Linked DNA regions of Notamacropus eugenii. The protein of the gene in region 2 purifies or fractionates together with the protein of the main gene of each other region. This does not show direct contact. Links are inferred from orthologs where the notes say so. Each region holds a gene or a part of one and is shown on either strand. Other genes may lie near its edges.

The links.
Region 1: the proteins of KIF24 (region 2) and CCP110 purify together in Homo sapiens (co-immunoprecipitation; 4 studies listed by BioGRID and IntAct, with this or other methods). This does not show direct contact. The link is inferred for Notamacropus eugenii from reciprocal best matches to the Homo sapiens genes KIF24 and CCP110.
Region 3: the proteins of KIF24 (region 2) and CEP97 purify together in Homo sapiens (co-immunoprecipitation; 4 studies listed by BioGRID and IntAct, with this or other methods). This does not show direct contact. The link is inferred for Notamacropus eugenii from reciprocal best matches to the Homo sapiens genes KIF24 and CEP97.

What each region holds. Positions count from the first base shown.
Region 1 is NC_092874.1:399,742,495-399,750,108, forward strand, and holds the start of CCP110 (centriolar coiled-coil protein of 110 kDa), read right to left. Parts: upstream 3,002-7,614; 5' UTR 2,943-3,001; intron 2,679-2,942; exon of another isoform or gene 2,436-2,678; intron 1-2,435. Other genes in the region: GDE1 (glycerophosphodiester phosphodiesterase 1), read left to right, coding at 3,997-4,257.
Region 2 is NC_092872.1:77,210,295-77,217,665, forward strand, and holds the start of KIF24 (kinesin-like protein KIF24), read right to left. Parts: upstream 3,085-7,371; 5' UTR 2,911-3,084; exon of another isoform or gene 2,884-2,910; intron 2,700-2,883; exon of another isoform or gene 2,270-2,699; intron 1-2,269. UniProt on the Homo sapiens protein: Microtubule-dependent motor protein that acts as a negative regulator of ciliogenesis by mediating recruitment of CCP110 to mother centriole in cycling cells, leading to restrict nucleation of cilia at centrioles.
Region 3 is NC_092876.1:368,364,703-368,372,143, reverse strand, and holds the start of CEP97 (centrosomal protein of 97 kDa), read left to right. Parts: upstream 1-4,347; 5' UTR 4,348-4,405; coding exon 4,406-4,451; intron 4,452-4,461; exon of another isoform or gene 4,462-4,687; intron 4,688-4,750; exon of another isoform or gene 4,751-4,985; intron 4,986-7,441. UniProt on the Homo sapiens protein: Acts as a key negative regulator of ciliogenesis in collaboration with CCP110 by capping the mother centriole thereby preventing cilia formation. Required for recruitment of CCP110 to the centrosome.

The DNA.
Region 1 (7,614 bases), on a different chromosome or scaffold from region 2:
CATTTTACAAATGAGGAAAGAGGTACAAATCCAAATTTTTTAAGTGACTTGCCCATGGGCACACAGCTAATGCAACTGGTAGAATGTAATTCTTTGTATTTGTATCCCCTAACCTAGCACAGTGCCTGGCACAGAATAGATGTTGTACGTTGGTTGATCACGTTCTCCTGACTCCACTTACAGAACTCTTCTCTTCACAGAATAAAAGCAAGAAAACTTAAATGAACCTTGTTTCAGTGTGAACACTGAAAAATAGCTTTAACTCAGTCCTCAAAAGTAGACTTCTACAGATATTTTATCATGCACTATATATTAAATACATGTACCTCCTAAAATAATCAAGCTAAACTTCACATTCCATTTTGCCTCTGCCAACTCACTGCCAAGTTTCACAAGTTTATCTCATGAGAATTGTGGAAACAAATGCCTTAGAATATTTTACCAATAGTACGTATCAAACACAGTTTTAAGTTCTATTTGCAGAGAGTCTCTTGCAAAATGCAAAGGAGATTTAGAAATGGAAATCTTGTATCTATGAGTAGAAACTAATCAACTTGATCTGAAGAAAGCATCTATCAACTATTCCTATTTCCAAGCCCTTCAAAAAAAGTAAATCAAACATTCATCCAAGAACAGAAGAATTTCGAGATTAGTTTCATTGGCAATCCTCCTCTCATGGGCAAATTAGTACCTCTAAATTACAATGTCAACCATTTAAAAAGTGAGTAATCTATGTTACATATGATTAGATAGGTGGATGCTGAATTACTCATATCACAATCCACTGTTAATAAGTTTTAAACTTAAAGAGTGCCTCTGGTCACCAAGCCATCCCAGGTCACAAAGCCACCCCAACCGTAACTACAGTACCACGTATTATTCCCTTTTTTTAGCTGCTCCCAAGTTGGACATAATTGGGTGGTCAGCCCTTTCTTAGAAATCCTTTGGTAATCTCATAAGTTTAGGACCCTACTCGTTATTAATTCAGCACTCCAGAAATCTAATATTCCCTTTCTACCAGAAAGTTCAGAAAAGGTAAGATACAACTGTGCAAGATGAGAACTATTGTGGTAACCTAGCAATAAAGACCAACAGACATTACTCTCTATTCATTTGGTTTACAACTTCAGAGAGCTCATTTTTATTCTTTTTTGTACCCCATATCCAATCAGTTGTCAAATCTTGTCAATTCTACTAACTCCACAACAGCCCTTCATACCTGTCCCCTTCCACTCAAATGAATCAGCTCTCATCACCAATGACCTGAACTGCAACAGCCTAACTGGTTTCCATGATTCCAGTCTCTCCCCCTTCCAATTCATCTTCCACAAAGCAGCAAAATTAAAAATTATGTTTTAGATAAGTCTGATTACATCAGCCTTCTCAAAAATCTTCAGCTAGCTCCTTATTGCCTCCAGAATCAAATATAAACTTCTCAGCCTGGCATTTTTGAAACTCTTCACAATCTGGTTCCAGTGTACCTTTTTAGACTCATTTCTATCCCAGTCACTTTCAGGATTCTTACTTTCAGTCAAACTAGCCTATTAGCTATTTCCTGACCAGCTCTGAACGAGAGAAACCTCCCCACATCACCACCTCACACCAGCCTAAGAAAATCCAATGCATTATTCCCTTTCAGCTCCAGGACTTTCTAGACTGATCTACTCATATGCCATACACAGAGCTCTCCCTTCTCAAATTATATCATACATTTACACATTTTTTTACTTATCGCTGTACCCCAAATAAATTAAACATCCTGCGGGCGGGGCCACTTTTTCCCCCCATTTTTTCTTTAAAGGCCTAAGTAAGGTCTAACCTAAAGAGTTTCACAACACGAGGGCCTCAACAAACACTAGCTGAATAGGAGAGATGTAGCTTGCAGCAAAGAGTTAACAGATAAATAGTGGGTCCTATGCCTGCTCAGCTAGAGAATTACTCTTCAAAAATGCAAAGGGAGGGTAAGGCATCAACCCCTCCCAAGCACGGAAAATAATTGGGTATTGACTTCTATTGTTCCTGCTTTTTTAATCAGGTGTGTACAGGTTCCCCCGCCCGAGGTTTCCGACTGGCATTAGAATCTTCCCCTTACCCCACCTTACCCCACCTAGGAGTATGAAGGAGCATGAAGCTCAGTCTGGTGATGCTCACAGTTCCATCAATCCCGCATCATCCGCATCATCATCATCATCATCATCATCATCATCATGATCATCATCATCATCCTCCTCCTCCTCCTCCTCCTCCTCCCACGACCTACCACAAATGCACCCCAGCCTCTCCCTCGCCCACCCTGCCAGGTAAGGCAGACCGGGGTTCGCCAGGACTGCCAGGGGCAGGGAAGGAAGCCCCGGCGACCCCAGGCGCCGCCTCGTCCCCGCCCCCAGCCGCGGTGGGAAGCCCCCAGCGCCCTGCCCCCCACCCCAGGCACCCACCTACTTCCCTTCCGCAACCCCCAGGGCCCCTTCGGGTTCTCTCTCTTTCTTCCTCCACGACCTCAAGGAGAGACAAAGGGATCAGGCTCTAATTGCAGGGCGCAGCCCGCTCCGCCGCCGTCTCCTCCTCCTCCTCCCCGCCATATTACGGGTCTCAAGGCGGCAACGCCGGCACCAGGCAACCGCTGCTGCCGCTGCCCGCCGCCGCCGCCGCCTCCCTCACTCCGCCTCCCAGGCAAGGCACTTCCGGTGCTGGAGGGCCGGAGTAAAGGGACTGCCTCCGTTCTGGGGCTACCCAACTAGAAACTACAACTCCCGAAAGGCTACGCGTGCCGCCTGTCCGGCCTCCAGGATTGGATGAGTACGTTGCATCTTGGGATATGTGGTTCCCACAAGAGGCAGGCTTCCCTCCTCCCTCCCCCTCCAAATAGGAGGTGGGGAGAAGAGGGAAAGATTTGTTTTTAACTAAGTCATCTGTTGTAGCAGTCAAAGTGGAAGGGACCTTACAGTGCTGTCTTTGAAAATATCGCCTTTAAAAACATCGACGTGGCCACGAATGCTGGTCCAAGGCGCCCAGGTATATGAAACATTCCCCACTTCCCAGAGAGGCGCCAAGGGTCTAAGTGATTTACCCAAGGTCACATAAGTGACCAGCAGAACGCAGTTACTTTACTAATAATGAGGAAGCAGCTTCAGAGAATTCAATGTGATCAAGGTTATACACCATACAAATGAGTGGAAGAGCCAGAATCAGAACCGATGAACAAATGAACTGATGTAACAAATGGTATTTTAAGACAAGTTCTCTCAGCTGATCTCTCTTAAGGAAATAACTTTATATTCAACAAACTGGTTTACAGATGACGTCTCCAGCCTTAGAACATCCTTAGACTTGCAGGACGGAAGAGCATTTTTTTAAAAAATGAAACAGTAAGCCCAGGAAGAAGGCCAAGCAGCCCTGAGTTCTTGGGCGATGCCCGGCTTCCAAAGCTGTTCCACTTGCTTCATTCCCCTGTGAAGTGTCAGTGCTTCACAGTGTGTGTGATTGCCCAGCGTCCGCTTCTTGAATCAGATCATTCACATGATGTTTGCAAAATGGTTCACAAATATAATTTCATTTCATCTTCCCAACAAGTCTGGGAGGTAGGTGCTTTTATTATCTTCCCTTTTTTGCAGATGAGGAAACTGAGGCAGGCCGGGGCCAGCGCCTTGGCCTCTGCGCCCCCTAGCGGCCCTCCGCCAGAACGCGGGGTGGTAGCCAAGGTTGAAGAGCCGTCCTCCGCGCAGTCCGATCGAAGTTCCTCAGACGCTCCAGCCTGCCCGCTAGGTCCCGTTGCTATAGCAGCGCCCCGCCTTGAAAGCCCCGAGCTCCGCGGTGCTGATTGGTCGGCGCGGAGCCTACCTTTCCGGATGTGCCGGGGCCGGCCATTGTGCGCGCCGGTGCCCTCTGCGGGTGACTGGCCCGATCGTGTCGCGGTCCCGCGCCCCGCCTCGAGGAGCCCGGCGGGTCCCGGAGGCTGCGGGTGCCGGCGCCCGCGGCGGCGCCGGCCCCGACCCCGACATGTGGCTGTGGGAGGAGCAGGGGGGCCTGCTGGCCTCCTTCTCCTTCCTGTTCGTGCTGCAGCTGATCCTGACCCGCAGCCCCTTCAACACCTGCCTCTTCACCTTCAGCTTCTACCTCCTGCTGCGCTTCTTCAGCTTCGAGCCGGTGCCCCACCGCCGGGCCCTGCAGGTGCTCAGGCCCCGCGGCCGCATCTCCGCCATAGCTCACCGCGGCGGCGGCCACGATGCCCCCGAGAACACGCTGGCCGCGATTCGGGAGGTAGGCGAGGGGGCGCCCCCGCCCCCACCCCCGGCGTCGCCCCCGCCCCCCGCCAGCCCCGAAGGGATGGGGTGTCTCTGTGCCCCCGAGGGGGGGAGTGTGTGATAAGCTTAGCCCCCCCCCCCCGTAACGATCAAGTCTAATCGTGTATGAGGAACGCTTTGCAAATTTCCCTGTGCTATTCGGTGTGCGTTATGGTTTATTATTAAAGGCAGTTAGGTGACTTAGAATTAATTGCCTGACTACGGGCAAATCAATCAACTTCAGTTTTTCCATTTTTAAGTGAATACGAAAGCCCCACCTGTGAGGATCAGGTATGATCAGGTATAAGGAACAGACAGTTTCCAAATCTTCCAGTCTATATCAATGTGCGTTATTATTATTTATTATTAAAGGCTGCAGGTGGCTCAGTTTATATGAGTGCGGGACCTGGAGTCAAGCACAGAGTTCAAAGGTCTACTCAATCTCATTTTCCCCATTTGCAAAGTTGGGAGAGGAGATATAGATGGTAGCCTCTGTTGTTCCTCAAGGTAGCTGTGACCATCAAGCATGATACTTAGTAACATTTTGTAAATCTTACAGCGCTACACCCATGTGAATTATTTCTAAATTATTAAAGGCAGCTGGGTGAATGAACTTGCTGGACCTGGAGTCTGGGATATCAGAATTCAAATAGGGTCTTAATTGCTTTCTAATTGTATTACTGGGGCAAATCTCTTAACTTCTGGCTACCTCAGTTTTCCCATTTGTAAAATGGGGGTGGTGGTGGTGGTAATAGCCCTTGTTCCACAAGGTTGCTGGGAGCATCAAATACGATTATATATAGGAAGTAGTTAGGACAACCAAGTGGCACAGTGGATATAGTACTGGGCTTGGAGTCAGAAAGACTTTTATCTTTCAGAGTTCAAATTTGGGCTCAGATACTTAGTTGTGTGACCCTGCATAAGTGACTTAAACCTGTTTGCCTTACTTTCCTCATCTGTAAAATGAATTGGAGAACAAGTGGCCAACCACTCCAATATCTTTGCCAGCAAAACCCCAAATGAGTTCATAGAGTCATAAGGGACTGAAACAGTATAGTGCTATATAAATGTAGGCTATTATTAATTTCCATCCCTTAGACCAAGAGTTCTCAACTTTTCTTGTGTGTCATGAATCCTTTTGGCAGTCTGTTTTACCTCTGGATGGGGAGGTGGAGTTTGAGGTATGTCTTTTTAATGTATGTTGATGCATAAACTAAAAAACACCTAGGAATGCAAAGGAAACCAACTATATTGAAATCATTATCAAGATATTAAAAAAAAAAAAGGTTCAGGTTAATAACCTCTGCACCAGACAAATAGGCAGCATCACCTCTGTGGTAGTTCTCTGGTCATCCTAGTTCCTCTTTTCCCTCTGGGGAACTCCTGTGACCCTTGAAACTATGAAGTTTGATGATTTGACTCAAGGTATCATAAGTGAATCATTTAGACCGGCCATCAGACTTTGGCATTCAGGTGATCTGGTGGGACTCTGCTAAACATTAGCTGTGTATCCTTGGGCAAATAATCATTTAAACATTCCAGGCTTATGGTATTTTCATGTAAGGAGCTGGACTAGATCAGGGGTAGGGAACCTGTGGCCTTGAGTGGCCCTCCAGGCCCTCTAGTGCTATCCTTAGACTGAATCCAAACTTCACAGAAGAAATCCTCTTAATAAAAGAATTTGTTCTGTAAAACTTGGACTCAGTCAAAAGGCCACACCCAAGGACCTAGCCCGATGTGACTTCTAGATGCCAGGTTCCTGACCTTTGAACTAAATAATTGTTGACCTTTAAGCTCTTTGAAGTTTGAAAAACAGTTTACAAATTTTATCTCTTTTTATCCTCAAAACAACTCTAGGAGGAGCTGTTGTTATCCTGATTTTACAGTTGAGAGGACTAAGAGATACAAAGATTAGTTGACTTTTCCAGGATCACACAGCTAGTAAGATGTGTGGCAGAATTTGAACTCAGGTCTTCCTGAGTCTAGGTTCACCTATTCTACCACCTGGTTCCCTCTCTCCTATCCTGTTGTCTGTTACTTTCATCTTTGTGCCCCTTTTTCACGCCATGAGGTACATCAGTGATTTCAAGAGCTTCATTCTGGGCCCAGTAAAAAGTAAGTTTCAAGTCAGGAGACCAGAAGGAGCATAAACAAAAAGGTGAAAGGAATACTTTAGTAGATATTAGGTAGTAGATATTAGTGGTCATCAGCCAGGTTGGACATTCTCCCTCCCTCCTTCCCTACTCCCCATTTTGCTTATATGCCAGAGGTCTGAAGGGTAATTCAGTGTCTTCTTGTCCACAACTTCTTGTAGCCTTTATATGACTTCTTTATACATCTGATGAAATAGACAACATTTTTCATCACAAACTATAATGATCTTAAAAGCATCAAAGGAAGTAATGAGGGGAAAAATGATAGGACTTAATTTTCTTTAGGATAAATGCTATCAACAAGTTTCATCTTCCAAATATTCAACGTAAACTGTCTAAAAGTATATATAACACAATGCTAGACATAGAGTATATATTTTGTAAATATTTGTTGATTGATTTTTGTAGTAGATGTATGTGTGTGTAATTGAAGCAGTAGTATATTTGAGGACTTTTTGAAGAAAGAAAATTGTTTTATGTACAAGATACTTCATGTTTCAGAAGTAACCAAAAAGCCCAGTATTTGCTCTTTCTTAGATATTACTGAAAGCATTATATTTTTCTATCGGCAGGAAATGAAAATGCATCTCTTTTCTTAGGCAGCATTTGGTGCCGTCATGCTACAAATAATCGTTAGCACTTTAGCAATTTGAGTGCTCATAAAAAACAATTGACCTCTTGAAAAGTCATTTTGGAGTGTAAGGCTTAGATTTTATTTTTTAATGTGTGAAAACCAACAATATTTAGATACTGTTCTTAAAAAAAACCCTATGGGAAGACATGATCTCATCCCTAAAAGTCAGGAGGAGCACATAGTTTATTCTCATTTTCCTTATCTCTCCTCTCCCCTATTCCTGGTTCGTATTTACAGCAGGTTAAAATCCTCTGCTCTTTACTATTCAGAACCAGGGAAGGAGTCTGGGAGGAGATATAATTTGAGAAAGATTATAAACAAAAAAGAGGAGGAGGCAAGTTGACAGAAGGGTATATTACAGAGCAAGACACCATTATTATAGACACTAGTGTAAAAATCATACCTCCAGCCCTGAGTCATTAAGGTGGGGTTTTTTTTGTGTGTGTGTAGAAATACAAGATCTAGAAGAAAAAAGAAATTTGCCTCTCTAGAATACGTTAGGTATCATCGGTCATTTATGACTTGAGCTCTTAAAAATAAATTTAAA
Region 2 (7,371 bases):
TATAAATGGAAGGAGATAGATGCAAGTGATGTTGTAGAGGCAAAATTGACAAGATTTGCCAAACGATTGGAGAAGGATGTGAGATAGCCTGGAAGAGACAAGGATGACTTCAATTTGAAAACTTGGGTTATTGGAAGTATGGTGGTACCCTCTGCAGAAACAAGGAAGCTTGGAGGAGTGGGTTTAGTGGAAAAGAAAATGAACTGCATTTTGTGCATATTAGTTTGGAGAAGTTGATTAAGATCCACTAGGAGGCAGTGGGTGATGAAGGATTGGAACTCAAAGAGAGATTAGAGATGTGTGTTGTATACAGACTTAAGAATCATCTGCATAGAAATAATAATTAAACCCATGGGAACAGATGAGATCACCAGAAAAGAGGGGGTAAAGAGAGAAAAGATGGCCCAGGACAGAGCCCAAGGGATGCTCATACATAACAGGCAAGAGATGGAAAATGATCCAGCAAAGGAGTGGTCAGATGATGGGTAGGAAAAAAACAGGGAGAGGAAATGACATAGGCCACTAAGGAGGGTAGCAGATATGATGTGCTTTACAGTGTGCAAAGTATTATTACACATATCTTATTTAATCTTCACAACCATCCTATAAGGTAGATATTACAGGCATTACTCTCCCCATTTTAAGTCAGTTTAGCTGACTTTCTCATAGTCACACAGCTAAGCAACTTTCCAAACTGGGATTTGAACCCAAGTCCAATGGTCTTTCACTACACTATTCTGCCTTCTCTTTATTAAACACTCAAAAGCATTTGACTCATAACTATAGTAAGCAAATGTGGCTGCTCAGAGAAATTCCAGGAGATCCTAAGGGATTCTCTGATAATTTCGAGAATTGTTAACAAGAGCTACCGTATCCTAAGATTGCCCATAAGTAATAGATCAAAATTAAACAGAGCTGGTACAGTAAGACTGAAATTAACATATGAGATGCAGTGTGGCAGAGTAAATGGAGGGCCAGGAAAACCCTGTGACCATGATTAAGTCAGTTTGAGACTCTTCAGGTCCATCTGTATATGTGGATCACAACTCCACAATGACATCCTCTTAATACAAAGGTAAATCATGCATTATGCACAGTGAAATCAATTATTTATATTCCTGATGCCAGGGCCTCAGTACCAGCAGGCTTGTACAAGCCTCCTAATTTCTATCTTGAGAGCAATAATTGCCCTCAGACTAATTACTCAGTGAATACTCTGTTTCTGAGAGCAGGAAAATGAGATGTTCCATGGAAGAGAAGGTTTCTCTCCATAACCCCAAATATTCACAGAATCAGAGCTGAAAGAACTTCAGCAACCATCTAGTGCAATACATGACCATACAGGAATTCCCTTTGCAACAACTCCAGCCATATGTAGATCTGTAGATATCTAAAGAGAAAATCCACTACCACTCCATCTTCTGGCTGCAGTTGCCTTATCTGTAAAATGAAGAGACTAAACTAAGTGACGACTAAAGTCCTTTCCTCCTTTCCAGCTCAAAAATCTATGATCCTATGAACTCTCAAGGCAGCCCAATTCATATCCGGATATTTCTGACTGTTAAGAAAGATTTTCCTTTCATGAAGACTAAATGCTTGATTCCATGTGAAATGCAACCTGGGCAATTACTTCTGCATGTCTACAACCTCTTCAGCAGACCACAGCTACTGAAGGCCCAGGAAAGAAAGTTCTTACCACCAAGATCCTGTACCTATCAAATGGTTCAATATCAGAAACAAATGATTTGATCAGTGGAAATGGCATTAAAGAAGATTCAATACCACCTGCATTGCTCCTGTATCCAAAGGATCCTGTTCTCCTAACAAGCAGCTGAAAATGGGTTGTCTCCCCATTAGAGTCAGTCATTGAGGCAGATAGGCAGTGTAGTGGATTGATAGCCTGGCTTGGAATCCAGCAGACTTGAGCTCAAATTGAACCTCAGACACTTAAAAGCTGTGTGATCCTAGGAAAGTCACTTCCCTGCTTGCTTCAGTTTCCCCACCGGTAAAATGGGGATAACAATAGCCCCTACCTCCAAAGATTATTGTGAGGATCAAATGTGGTATTTGCATTACTTAGCGTACTGCCTCTGACACACAGTGAGTGCTTATATAAAGATTAGCTACTATTATTTTTAGTTTCATTACAATGTGAGTTCCTTCAGCTCAGGAAATCTTATTTTCTATTTGTATCCCTCGTTCATGGCACAGAGCTTTTCACTGCTTTTTGATCATTCATTCATTCACTGATCGGAGTGCCATAACTTACTTTAGTAAGTTGTCACAAGTTTGCAAATCCATTCATTCATCCAAACCCTTCTCGAAGCACTTTAAATGAGTGGGTAACATCCTTTACTTTGCCGAGTCTCATGCTTCGTTCTCCCTAAGGCCTGGACGAAACTATTTTAGAGTGAGTTCTGATCAGCGGTTAAGGAAGGACTCCCCATGCCTTTAGGAAAAGCCAGCCTCGGGAGGGGCTTCCTTCCAGGTGAGGGGCACACGAGCAGGGGCGTACCCTTAGATAACCTCTCCCGACACGTAGTAGGTGCTACAACAATGTTTACGGAACGTCTGCGCAGGAGGGGCGGGGCTAGAGCTGCCGGGAGGCGCGGAAAGGGCTCCGGGACACATCGGATAAAGCTGCTGGGAGAGGCTTAAATCCCCAACGTCCCGCTCCGGCTCTGGGTTCGCGCCGGGCCGCTCGGCACCGGAGCCCACGCGGCCCCCTCCACCCCCGGAGCCCCACGCGGCCCCCTCCACCCCCGGAGCCCCACGCGGCCCCCTCCACCCCCGGAGCCCCACGCGGCCCTCTCCACCCCCACCCTCAGCCCCCGCCTGGCCCGGGCCTCTCCCGGGCCCCCTCCGACCGCCGCGTCTCCCTACCTCGGGAGCGCCATTCCTCTCTCTCACCTACTGAGGCAGCCGAACCTCTGACTGCGGCCGCTCGGACACCCCGGGCCGCTGCCCCTAGCGACACAGCGGCACGTCAACAAACCGCCCCGCCGAGAAGGCGAGGCCGCGTCCCCATGGCAACACCGCCAAGCATCCGTTCAAACGCCGCGCCGACTCCCGCGCGCGCCGGCCAGCCCCGGGAACCCGCCAATAGGAACCCTGGGAGGAGGGGGAGGGCGGGAGCGGGCCGAGTCGCCCCACCCTCCCTGCTCTTAGACCAATCATAAGCTACTAGGAAACAGTGGGTGGGGAAAGGGAGGATTCTCGGCGAATCGCGAAGTCAGAACCTCTCTCTTTCCTCCAGTTGGTGAGAAAATCTCGCGATATCTTACGCGCCTGGGACGAGATGAGACAGTAGCAAAGTCTATTGGGCCTGCTCGCTCTCGGCGGAGCTTCTTGATTGGTAGGAGAAGTGTCAGTTTCCCATTAAGTTCTTCCCCACACTCGCGGCCCAGGAGGTAGGTTGTTGTTGGAGGCAGGGGGGCGGGGAGCTTTTTAACCTCTTTGATCCCGCGACGGGGGTCCATGCGTCCCTGAAATAGTGGCTTTATTAACTGATCTGAGGAGATCGAAGGGGAAAGTAAGGCCCTGGGGTCGGGGATGGGGAAAATCCTTTTTTTAGGTTGTACTTTGTAACTTACTAACGTATGTTCCAGTTGCTTCTCGTTGACAGAATATAAGCACCCTGAGGGCAGGATCTATTCCCCTTTTTTTGGTTTTTGGATGCTCAGGGACTACCCCTGCCCGGCCCACGTGGATCGTGGCCAATTGAATGAAGGAGAACGTTGGCTGGGATGCCAGGGTGTGGAAGGCCTTGTTTGCAAAAAGCTGCCCTCTTGCCCCAGCCCCCACCAGCCCCGCCCGACCTAGTTTGGTGGGCCAGGTGAGGGCACCTTGGCTCTCGTCCTCCCAGGACTGCCCCCTGCAGTCCAGTTGGTGCGAGAGGCTGGTAATGCCGGGCTAGGTGGTTCACTCTCTCTTCTTTAAGGATTTTATAGTTTGATAGGGGCCAAGGTCTCCCAGTGCATCCTGGGCCATCTTCAGTCATCCTGATGACTATCTGGTCACTGGATTCAGATGGCTCTGGAGGAGAAGAGTCTGGTGACCCGCACAGCCCTCCCTCACTCAAAACAAAGTCAAGCGCAAGGCATGTCATCATTTCTCTTCTGCAACGAAGGATGAAAACAGCAACGATATAGTTTGATAAGGGGATGGGATAAAGGGAGAACCAGAACCGTAAGCACCAGTAACTAATACCAGAGAATGAGAGAAATTCCGTGGAGATAGATCCAGACCAAGGATTGTGAATTTTGAGCGTTGCCTTTCAGCTAATGGTAGGCTTCGGAGGTATTTAGGAAAGACTTCATGAAGGAGATGCCTAGTTGAATCTTGAAAAAGTGAGGAATTTCAGGAACTATTGGTGAAGGGAAATGGTTTGTACAAAGGTATGGGACCTTGAAGGAGAAAAGTCCAGTTAGGGTGGAATATAGAATTTGGGAAGAGGAGAAGTATGAGACAAATTGGAGCTAAATTGTGGAGAGCCTCAAATGTTAGGGATAGGAGTTTATACTTTGGAAGGCAATAGGGATCTACTAAAATTTTTTCAGTGGAGGAGTAATATAATCCTACTGGTGCCACAGACCCATCTAATGGAGAGGCTATACAATGGAGGGAGAAAGTTTAGTTAAGAAATGGTTATAATCATCAACATGAGCAGAGATGAAAGTCTAAACATAGATTAGTTGGAGAGAGGAGACTGGGGAGGTGAGGCTGGGTGCCAGAGATGTTGTTAAATTAACAAAAACAGAATCTGACAACTGATTGAATGTTAGTTGAGGTTATGAGCCTGGGAAACTGGGATAGAGATGGCACTATTCTTGAAGAACTGAGGTGCAGGTTTACAAGGAAAGATAATGAGTTCCAATAGATTGAGTTAGGCGGCAGGCTCCTGGAAATATATAGGCATGGAACTCTGGGAAAGTGTTGGAGTTGGAAATAAAAAAATTGGGAGTCATCTGTATTAAAAATAATCTTTGAAACCATGAAAGTAGATTAGATCATCAAAGTGGAGAGTTTAGAAAGAGAAGAGGAAGACATCCACCTTTAAGACCTGTGGAACGTTGTTACGCTGTTATTACTGTTGAAGTCTTGTCTATTCTTAAGGCTCAACTCAAATGCTACCACCACCAGAAAGTAACTTTTCCTGACTACTGAGAAAGGACTTTGATGTTTAAAAAAAAAAAAAAAAGAGAAGGTTTTAATAAAACTTGTTTTTCCAGAATCCCTGCCCTTGCGAACCTTATAGCACAGGAAAAGGATGTGAGATACATACATACACACACATATGTACAGTGATGTGTGTGTGTATATCACTACGCTTTTATGGATATTATAATGTCATCTGTACCGATTAAAACATCTCTTTATAATGTATTTTATAATTTTTATCCATATAATCTTTATAAAGGTTCCACTCTTCTTTCTTTTACTGTCTTGAGGGTAACAGTGTCTCACTGTCCATAATATGTAAATACATTAGAGAACTACAAGGAAAGTGTTTTGTGAGGTCTGAAGAAAGATTATTACCTAATGGGAAAATTAGCATAGAAGATCTAGTATTTGAGTTGTGTTTTAAGGACAGGAATTCAATAGATAGGAAGGAGATGATTCCAGGAATAGGGAAAAGTGGGAACTAAAGTTCTACAAGCGCAAATGATAACAAGAAGTACAATTTGACTGGAATGTAGAAAATACCAAGGGGAATAGTAAGAGATAAACTGGAGAGTTAGGGAGGTACCACAATGTTAAGAGCCTTGAATGCCAACTGACAGTTTGAAACTTAACTTACTAAGCAATAGGAAACCTCTGAAGATTTTTGAGTAGAGCAGTGACATGACCAGATTAAGTACATAGGACCAAGATTACAAATATGAATAATGGGGCCCTATTTAAGGCAAAGAGAATAATAGGCTTCTTTTGAAGCATAGTAAGTTTGAAGTCCTAGTGGAACATCCAAGTAAAGATCTTCTAAATTGGCAATTAGAGATGCAGGTCCAGAGGTCAGGGAAAAAACAGTTAAGGCTAGAGCTAAGTCCCCTGAGTAGAAGTAACAGTCACAGTGTTGGGATTTTGTGAGGTTGCTGAAGGAAAGAGCAGAGAGATAAACCAAAAAATCTCCTGGGAACACTCAAAGACAAGGATGCTAGTGAGGAGGATAAAATTAGAGAGGTTGGAGAAGAAGCAAAACAGTATGGTATCAAGGAGAAGCCAGAGGTCAAAGGTAGAGAGAATATGTACAAGTTGGGCTTGATCAGATAATCCAAAGAGCCCCAGGAGGATGAGAACTGAAAAAGAAATGGATTTCTTGATGACGAGGTCATTGATATTTGAGAGAATGATTTCAGTAGAATGGTAGAAATGGAAGCCAAATTGTGGTGAGAAAGTAGAGGGAATAGCCTGGTTGGTGGATTCAAAAGAGCACCGTAGGCTAGGGATTCTTAACTTTTTTTGTGTTCACCTTTGACAATCTAGTGAAGCCTTTGGACCCTTTCTCAGAATAATGTCTTGAAATGCATAGAATAAAATGCACAGGGTTATAAAGGGTTATTATTATTTTAGTTATTGAAGATATTAGTTAATAATAATGCCTGTTATATTATAAAGAGTGTTAAGGTTTGCAAAGCACTTTATAAATATGATTTTCATCTTATCCCCTCAATAACCCTTTGAAGTAGGTGCTTTTATGAAACCCATTGTACAGAGGAGAAAACTGAGGCAGAGGTTAACTGACCCAGAGTCATCTAGCTAATAAACAGGCCAGATTTGCCCTCAGGTCTTCCTGACTCTAGAACTAGCACTCTATCCACTGTGCTACCTGGCTGTGGTTCTCTGTGTTAAAATTTGATAATTATTTTGCAGTACAGTTTTCAAGCTATCAAAAAATATATACATACATATATATACATGCACACATATATATGTATGTATGTCCTCATTTGAAGATGTCTGTGACATTCAAGAAACCTAAGTTCTAATACAGTTTCTGCTACTAAACAGCTGTGTGACCTGGACAAATCACTTCTCTTACTGGGCTAATTTGTTTGTAAAATGACAGAGTTTTAATAGATAATCTGTAAGGTGCCTTCCATCTCTAACAGTCTATAATTCTACAACTCATTTATATTGGAGGAAGAAGAAAAGATATTACAAGAATAATTAAATTAATTTTTATGTTAGGGAACATTTAGCTCAGTACATCTATGGAGAGTGAAAGAAAGGGAATAAAACTCAAAACAAAAAAGTAGATAGGGAGAAAAGAGAAAACTGAAGATCCGAACCTGGGAGACAAGGAAGGGTTCTGATCTCCCTTTAAGAATTATTTACACGCCGAACAATTCCATCAGCTTTGGGTTTGCTGCC
Region 3 (7,441 bases), on a different chromosome or scaffold from region 2:
GAATAGCAGCCCTGCCACCGCCAAAAGCCCTGAGGCTGGCAAGCAGCATTTGAATCTCAAACCCCAAGTGTTGGCTGGGAGGATCCGGAGGCGAGGTGGTGTGAAGAGAATATTCAGAAGTCAAATCACTGGCTGGGAAAATGCCCAGAAAAGGGAAAAGAAATAAGACTATAGAAGGTTACTTTCTTGGTGAACAGGCATTTCCTCCCTTCCTTTCTGATGAGGAAGAACAATGCTTACCATCAGGCAAAGACACAGAAGTCAAGGCCTCTATATCCCAGCCCACTCAATGGGCTCAGGCCATAGAGGGCTCATAGAAAATCAAGTTAGAGAGGTGGAAGAAAAGCTGGGAAGAGAAATGAGAGACATGCAGTCAAAGCATGAACAGCAGATCAGCTCCGTGCTAAAGGAGACCCAAAAAAATGCTGAAGAAAATAACACCTTGAAAAATAGGCTAACTCAATTGGCAAAAGAGGTTCAAAAAGTCAATGAGGAGAAGAATGCTTTCAAAAGCAGAATCAGCCAGATGGAAAAGGAGATTCAAAAGCTCACTGAAGAAAATAATTCTTTCAAAATTAGAATGGAACAGATGGAGGCTAATGACTTTGTGAGAAACCAAGAAATCACAAAACAAAACCAAAAGAATGAAAAAATGGAAGAGAATGTGAAATATCTCATTGGAAAAACAACTGACCTGGAGAATAGATCCAGGAGAGACAATTTAAAAATTATGGGCCTACCTGAAAGCCATGATCAAAAAAAGAGCCTAGACATCATCTTTCATGAAATTATCAAGGAAAACTGCCCTGAGATTCTAGAACCAGAGGCCAAAATAAGTATTCAAGGAATCCACAGATCACCGCCTGAAAGAGATCCCAAAAGAGAAACTCCTAGGAACATTGTGGCCAAATTCCAGAGTTCCCAGGTCAAGGAGAAAATATTGCAAGCAGCTAGAAAGAAACAATTCAAGTATTGTGGAAATACAATCAGGATAACACAAGATCTAGCAGCTTCCACATTAAGGGATCGAAGGGCATGGAATAGGATATTCCAGAAGTCAAAGGAACTAGGACTAAAACTAAGAATCACCTACCCAGCAAAACTGAATATAATACTTCAGGGGAAAAATTGGTCTTTCAATGAAATAGAGGACTTTCAAGCATTCTTGATGAAAAGACCAGAGCTGAAAAGAAAATTTGACTTTCAAACACAAGAATGAAGAGAAGCATGAAAAAGTAAATAGCAAAGAGAAGTCATAAGGGACTTTACAACAGTTGAACTGTTTACATTCCTACATGGAAAGACAATATTTGTAACTCTTGAAACTATTCAGCATCTGGGTACAGGGTGGGATAACACACACACACATGCACATGCACACGCACACACACATAGAGACAGAGTGCACAGAGTGAACTGAAGAGGAGGGGATCATATCTTAAAAAAAAAATGAAATCAAGCAGTGAGAGAGAAATATATTGGGAGGAGAAAGGGAGAAAAGGAATGGGGCAAATTATCCCTCATAAAAGAGGCAAGCAAAAGACTTTTTAGTGAAGGGAAAAAGAGGGGAGGTGAGAGAAAAACATGAAGTTTACTCCCATCACATTCCACTAAAGGAAGGAATAAAATGCACAGTCATTTTGGTATGAAAACCTATCTTACAATACAGGAAAGTGGGGGATAAGGGGATAAGCAGGATGGGGGGGATGACGGAAGGGAGGGCACGGGGAGGAGGGAGCAATTTGAGGTCAACACTCATGGGGAGGGTCAGGATCAAAAGAGAGAACAGAAGTAATGGGGGACAGGATAGGATGGAGGGAAATATAATTAGTTCTTACACAACACTACTATTATGGAAGTCATTTGCAAACCTACACAGATCTGGCCTATATTGAATTGCTTGCCTTCCAAAGGGAAGGGGTGGGGAGGGAGGGAGGTGGAGAAGGTGTCTTCTCATATTTCTTCGCACTTTGGTTGCTCCACTTTGCATTAATTCATATAAATTAGGGATTGATTTTTAGTAGATTTCAAAGATAGGAATAGCACAAAAGAATGGAAAGGATCATAGATGATATTATTACTTCAAAGAAAAGAGCAATGAGGCTGGTATTAGCAACTACTGACCCATATGTCTACTTTTCCATCTCTATAAGATCTTTAAGAGAAAGGTCTATGAATATATCAAGGGTCTTTCTGGTTTGGATGTGATTTTGTTGTTGGTTGTGTTTGTTGTTGGGTCATTTTTCAGTTGTCTTGGAGACCTCATTTGGGGTTTTCTTGGCAAAGATACTGGAGTGGTTTGCCATTGTCTTCTCCAGCTTATTAAGCAAGGCAAACAAGGTTAAGTGACCAGTCACACTGTTAGTAAGTGTCTGAGTGTTTGAACTCAGGAAGATGAAGACCCCAGACTCTTGGCCTGGCATTCCATCCACTGTGCCACTTAGCTGAGTTCTTTGGTATAGGGAACTCTCAGTAAGGGGATTTCTTCTATCAATGCAGATAAGAAACTGCTCCAAACAAATTGTAGTTTCACAGGTTGTACAGAGTACTTCAAGGTTAAGAGACAACCGCCCCCTCTCCCTGTCTAGGCCGTACAACCACTGTTCATTGGAACCCTAACCCTGAATGCACCTCCAACTTGAAGCCAAGCTCTGAAGCCAGCTCTTTTTTCACCATGCCATACTGCCTACACGCAGTGAATGACTGTTTGTGAATGACTGTTTATAGCAGATCATACCTTCTCACCTGATTGAGAAGGGAAAGAATCCATTTACTACTCAACAAACATTTAATTAAGAACCTACTATGTGTCAGGCACTGTGCTAAGTGCTGGGAATACAAAGACAAATCTGAACCATTTTCTGAGTTTGTTATTTATTGATTACAGAAAAATGCATTTTACTTGCTAGAGGAAAATACAGCCTTAAGCCACCTTTCAAACAAGGCGTCATCTATTCATAAATTAAGGTTAAATAAAGTCCTTGAGTGAGATATAACTTTGTTCAATGATCTTCAACTTATCAATATCAAGTCCTGGACAAGGAGACATATTCGTGGAAAAGGTTTGCCTGCTGTGTTGGATGTTATTCTGCTCAAAGTTCAAACAGAAGAACAATTTCCTGTGGGTGGTGAAGTTTTCCTGCTGGATGTGGATGGCTTTGAATCATGGATTCATCGGCAAATGATCTATAGTCACTGATAACACAAGCCTCAGGTTTATTTGTGTCCCCTGGGTTCTCTTATTCTTGTGTGGTAATTAAAAGGGACTCAGATATACTGACCTCATTTAGTTCTTTTTTTTAATTGTCCCTCAAATGAATATGACTTCAGGGGAGGAAGCAAGGACTTAGAATATGCAAAAAAGTCTTTAAGGGCTCTGGACAAAGGTTAGGTACAAGAGCTTCTGCCCTTGGCCAAATCATACTCACTTTCCTTATGTTCCTTGAAGTCTTTTCCCTTCCCATACTTCAAACTTGTGGGTTCTTTAAAGCTCCTGTTCACTACCTCACTTCCACTCTTACCCTTCCTTTGGGACAGCTAGGTGGTGCAGTGGTTAGAGCACTAGGGCAGGCGTCAGGAGGACCTGAGTTCAAATCTCACCTCAGGCAAGACACTCACTAGCTGTGTGACCTTGGGCAAGTCACTTAACCCCAATTGCCTCATCCTGGGTCATCTCCAGTCATCCTGATGAATATCTGGTCACTGGATTCAGATGGCTCTGGAGGAGAAGTGAGGCTGGTGACCTGCACAGCCCTCCCTCGCTCAAAACAAAGTCAAGTGCAAGTCATGTCATTATTTCCCTGATGGCATGGTCTTCTTCGGCAACGAAGGAGGAACACACCCTTCCTTAGGACCAACTAACTCATATTCTCTCTCCTTTTTATTCTATATGATTAATCACTGTACTAACTTCACACGCCTACCGCCACTATTCAGTTACCACCTTCAAGAAGATATCTCCTAAGTATGTCTAGAGAATTACAGACAACCATTAAACGTGGTGCGATCTTCCTGTAGGATGATATTTAGTCGTTTTGCTCCCTTTCTGGGATAACACATTATAATGAGTGAACAGGCTTTCAATATGGGTTAAGAAGCAGGGGATGGAGGGAGGAGGTAGCAGGTATAGGAAACAATTTGCCAATTATTTAAACTACTGTTTCTAAGTTATTTCCAGCTGTATAATTGGACTCCAATATTACTTTAATTTATTAAACCCTCTCTACCAACCAGAAGGCAATGGGTTCTCCCTTCCCACTGGCCCTGGGGAGGAGGTTGTGAGTGGGGGGTGTTGAGGCATGGGCGCTGTGCATCTTGGGAATAGTAGTTTTGCGCTAGCCCAACTAGACTACATACCCCACAGAGCTTCGGGAAGTCAGTTGCCTGGTGTTAGCAAGCGGGAAGTATGGCAATGGCGGCGCGGAGCGACGCGGCTTTATTACCACGAGAAGGTAAAAGTACCTTGTTCGTTTAGTTTAGAAATCCTTTCGCTAAGCCCGTTTACAGTAATCGCCTCTCCACAGAAGTTGGAGTCCCCATTTTATTGCTGCGTTTCAGTTCATATCTTCTCTAGCTGCAGTTAAGCTTGGCGTCTGGGGCGGCGGGGAGTGCTGCCCTCTGGGAGTTGTAGTCTTCCCGCGCTCTGTAGCTCCTTCGGTGACAGGGCGAGGGCCAGAGGGGCTGGACTACAGCTCCCAGGGGACTTCGTTCAGCACCCCACCCCCCACCCCCCGCGCTGATCCCGCTGCTTGTTTGGTTTGTTTGGGGTTGGGGAAGAGTCCTCCCTGGTTGGGAACTGGGCCGAACTGGGAAGAATGAAGAGCTAAATTTGGCAAGAGCATACTCCCCACACCCTCACTCCCCTTCACTCTGCCCCTAGTCTCTCGTTCATCATCTTCCCGTAGGAGGGGACTGATGACTTTGATGAAGTGGGGGCCGGGCGGTCTCAGGTAGGAGCATCATTCATGGACCCACCTGGTCCTCAGGTGAGAGGCTGAGAGACTGGGCCTTGTCTACATGCGGATGGGATGGGTCCTTCCTTATCAGAGCATTCCTCCTCCGCCTTTGCCCAGGCAGGTTGTCACCTTTGTTTTGGCTGGGACTGCAGAGGTTGAGACTGTGTACCCGGTTCCCCCTGCTTGGAGAGGGAACCAGCATCAAAGGTTTTCCATAAAACATTTTTTGAGCCAGTGAACTCCAGATCCAGCGCTCATTCCACAGCATCATGGAAGCCCTTGTGATGAGAGAATACCCATACAGGTTCCCCCCTTTCTGTCCCCCCCACCCTCCCATTGTGAGGTTTATAGCCTATTCTGACACTAGGATCTGGGAGGAAATGAAAAAAAAAACTGGAAGGGGGGAGCACTAGGGGGAACGCCTGGCAGTTTGAGCCTCAAAAGTGGTTTTTGTTGGGTTTTTTTTAGGGAAGGCAGGAGAAGGAGAAGAAAGAGGTCTTCAAAGAGAAATTGTGCTTATCATACCCACTGGCCACCAGATCCTAGTGTCAGAATAGGCTATAAACCTCACGTGTTTTCTTTGGCTCTGGCATAAGGAGTCTTTTCATAACTGTCTAATTTATTTGTGATTTTGACAAGCATACTGTGTTTGTTTACCAGCACCCTTGTGGAGAGAGGAAATCTTCATTTTCTCTCCTCCCACTCCCCAACATAAATGCAGCCTTTAGGGGACTTGCCTCCTTGAGAATATGTTTGTAGCACAATTTGAAATACATGCTGTGACAGATTTAAAGCTAGAACTCTAGAACGCCTCAGTTTGTGAAAATTTGAAACTAGTTTTAACCTTTTCCAACTTAAGTCAATTTCTTATGCCTAGAAAAACAGCTGTGCAAAATATAGGGAAAAATCCTAGTTGAGGCCATTTCATTCCATCACTTCATCCATATCCCTAGAGTTGGCAGAAAATAATATGTTCACATACTTTCAACTCCCACTGCCCTTACTTTATATACTCCAAGAGGAGCTTCTTCCTTTAAACTTGAATATTGTCAAGAGGTTGGAAAGTGGAAGAATGTTACATAGAAGAGGAAGGGGAGAAAGGGAGAACTTTGTACTTGGAGTTAAAATAAGCAACAAACTTAAGGCTCTTTTTGAAGGAGAGAAAGATATGCCCTGAGTGAAAAGTGCCTCTTTTGTCCTCCAGAGCAGGCTAAAATAGAGCCACAGGAGTGATCAGGTGAGAAATCATCTAGTAAAAAGTCAGAGGAAGGAGAGAAAAATAGTGGTGATAAGTAATCTGGAGTTCTCAATTAGCTATTTGTTGACCTGATCATAACAGTGGAGAGGTCTGTTGTCTTTCTGAGACAAGTATCCAAGGCATAGCAGAAAACCTTCCAAATCTTGTCGAAAAGAATGACCGCTATGCACTTATTGTTATTCTGTGGTAGTTGTGCTATTTGGCTACAAATAACTATGAGAAGGAACCTAGAAAATATTAAATATTACAAAACCATGTGCTAAACATGGGCACTTTTCCTCATTATTCCCTATCAAAAGCAATGTATACAGAAAAGAAAAATTGATTTGAAAAGTTAATAGGTTAGTAACAAAGTGGTATCTGAGAATGGTTGGACTTTTGGATCATGGCTTAAAATAAAGGGATGGCTGACTACTGGCCAGGGATAGAATCTTCCTAACAAAGGCTGGTAACAATTTATCAGGTATTTTGCAAATCTAATCCAAAGGGCTTTAAATTAAAAGCGAGTGGGGAAGTAGTATGTCCGTATTGAAGAAAAGATACAGTGAAGGAAAATCAAAAACATCTGAGATGCCCAGAAGTTCACAGTAGACAAAAATCCAGGAAAAGGGCCTGTAGTAAAATCCATAGTTGCAAATGACAGGGGTGTGCTAGAGCTAGCTGGAACTGGCTTTCAAGCCAGTTGTTAAATTTTCAGTGTGAGCATTTAGGTATAAATCAAGTTTTGGTTTATATTTTTATTGACTATCTAGACTTAAGGACACGAGAAAATGTTAATTATTTAGGTTAAATTGAAAAGCTTTTTGGGGTACGTTTTCTTTTCCAGAGAGCCAATTAAACATTTATTAGCCACTTCTGACAATGCCCAAAGTTCAGGCAGCAAGCAAGAGGAATAGACATCATACTACAGGGAGGCAAATTTGGTTCATGTTGTGGATGGGGAAACTGAAGCTTTAAAAAGTCATGAAATTGTCTGCAGAATCTTGGAGGTAGTTTATCTTTACTCTCCAGTTTTGAGCAAATGTTTTCACTTCCTCTGGGCCTCATTGTTCTTATCTGTAAAATGAGGGGGCCGCAACTCACCTCTTTTAGTAGAGGGTGGAAGGCCACATCTTCTGAATGGCCCAGTTTTCCCTTAGCTCCTCCAACAATTGTCATCTTCCTTTTTAGTCATCTTTGCTAATCTGATGAATGTGAAGTGGAACTTCAGAGTTATTTTAATATGCAT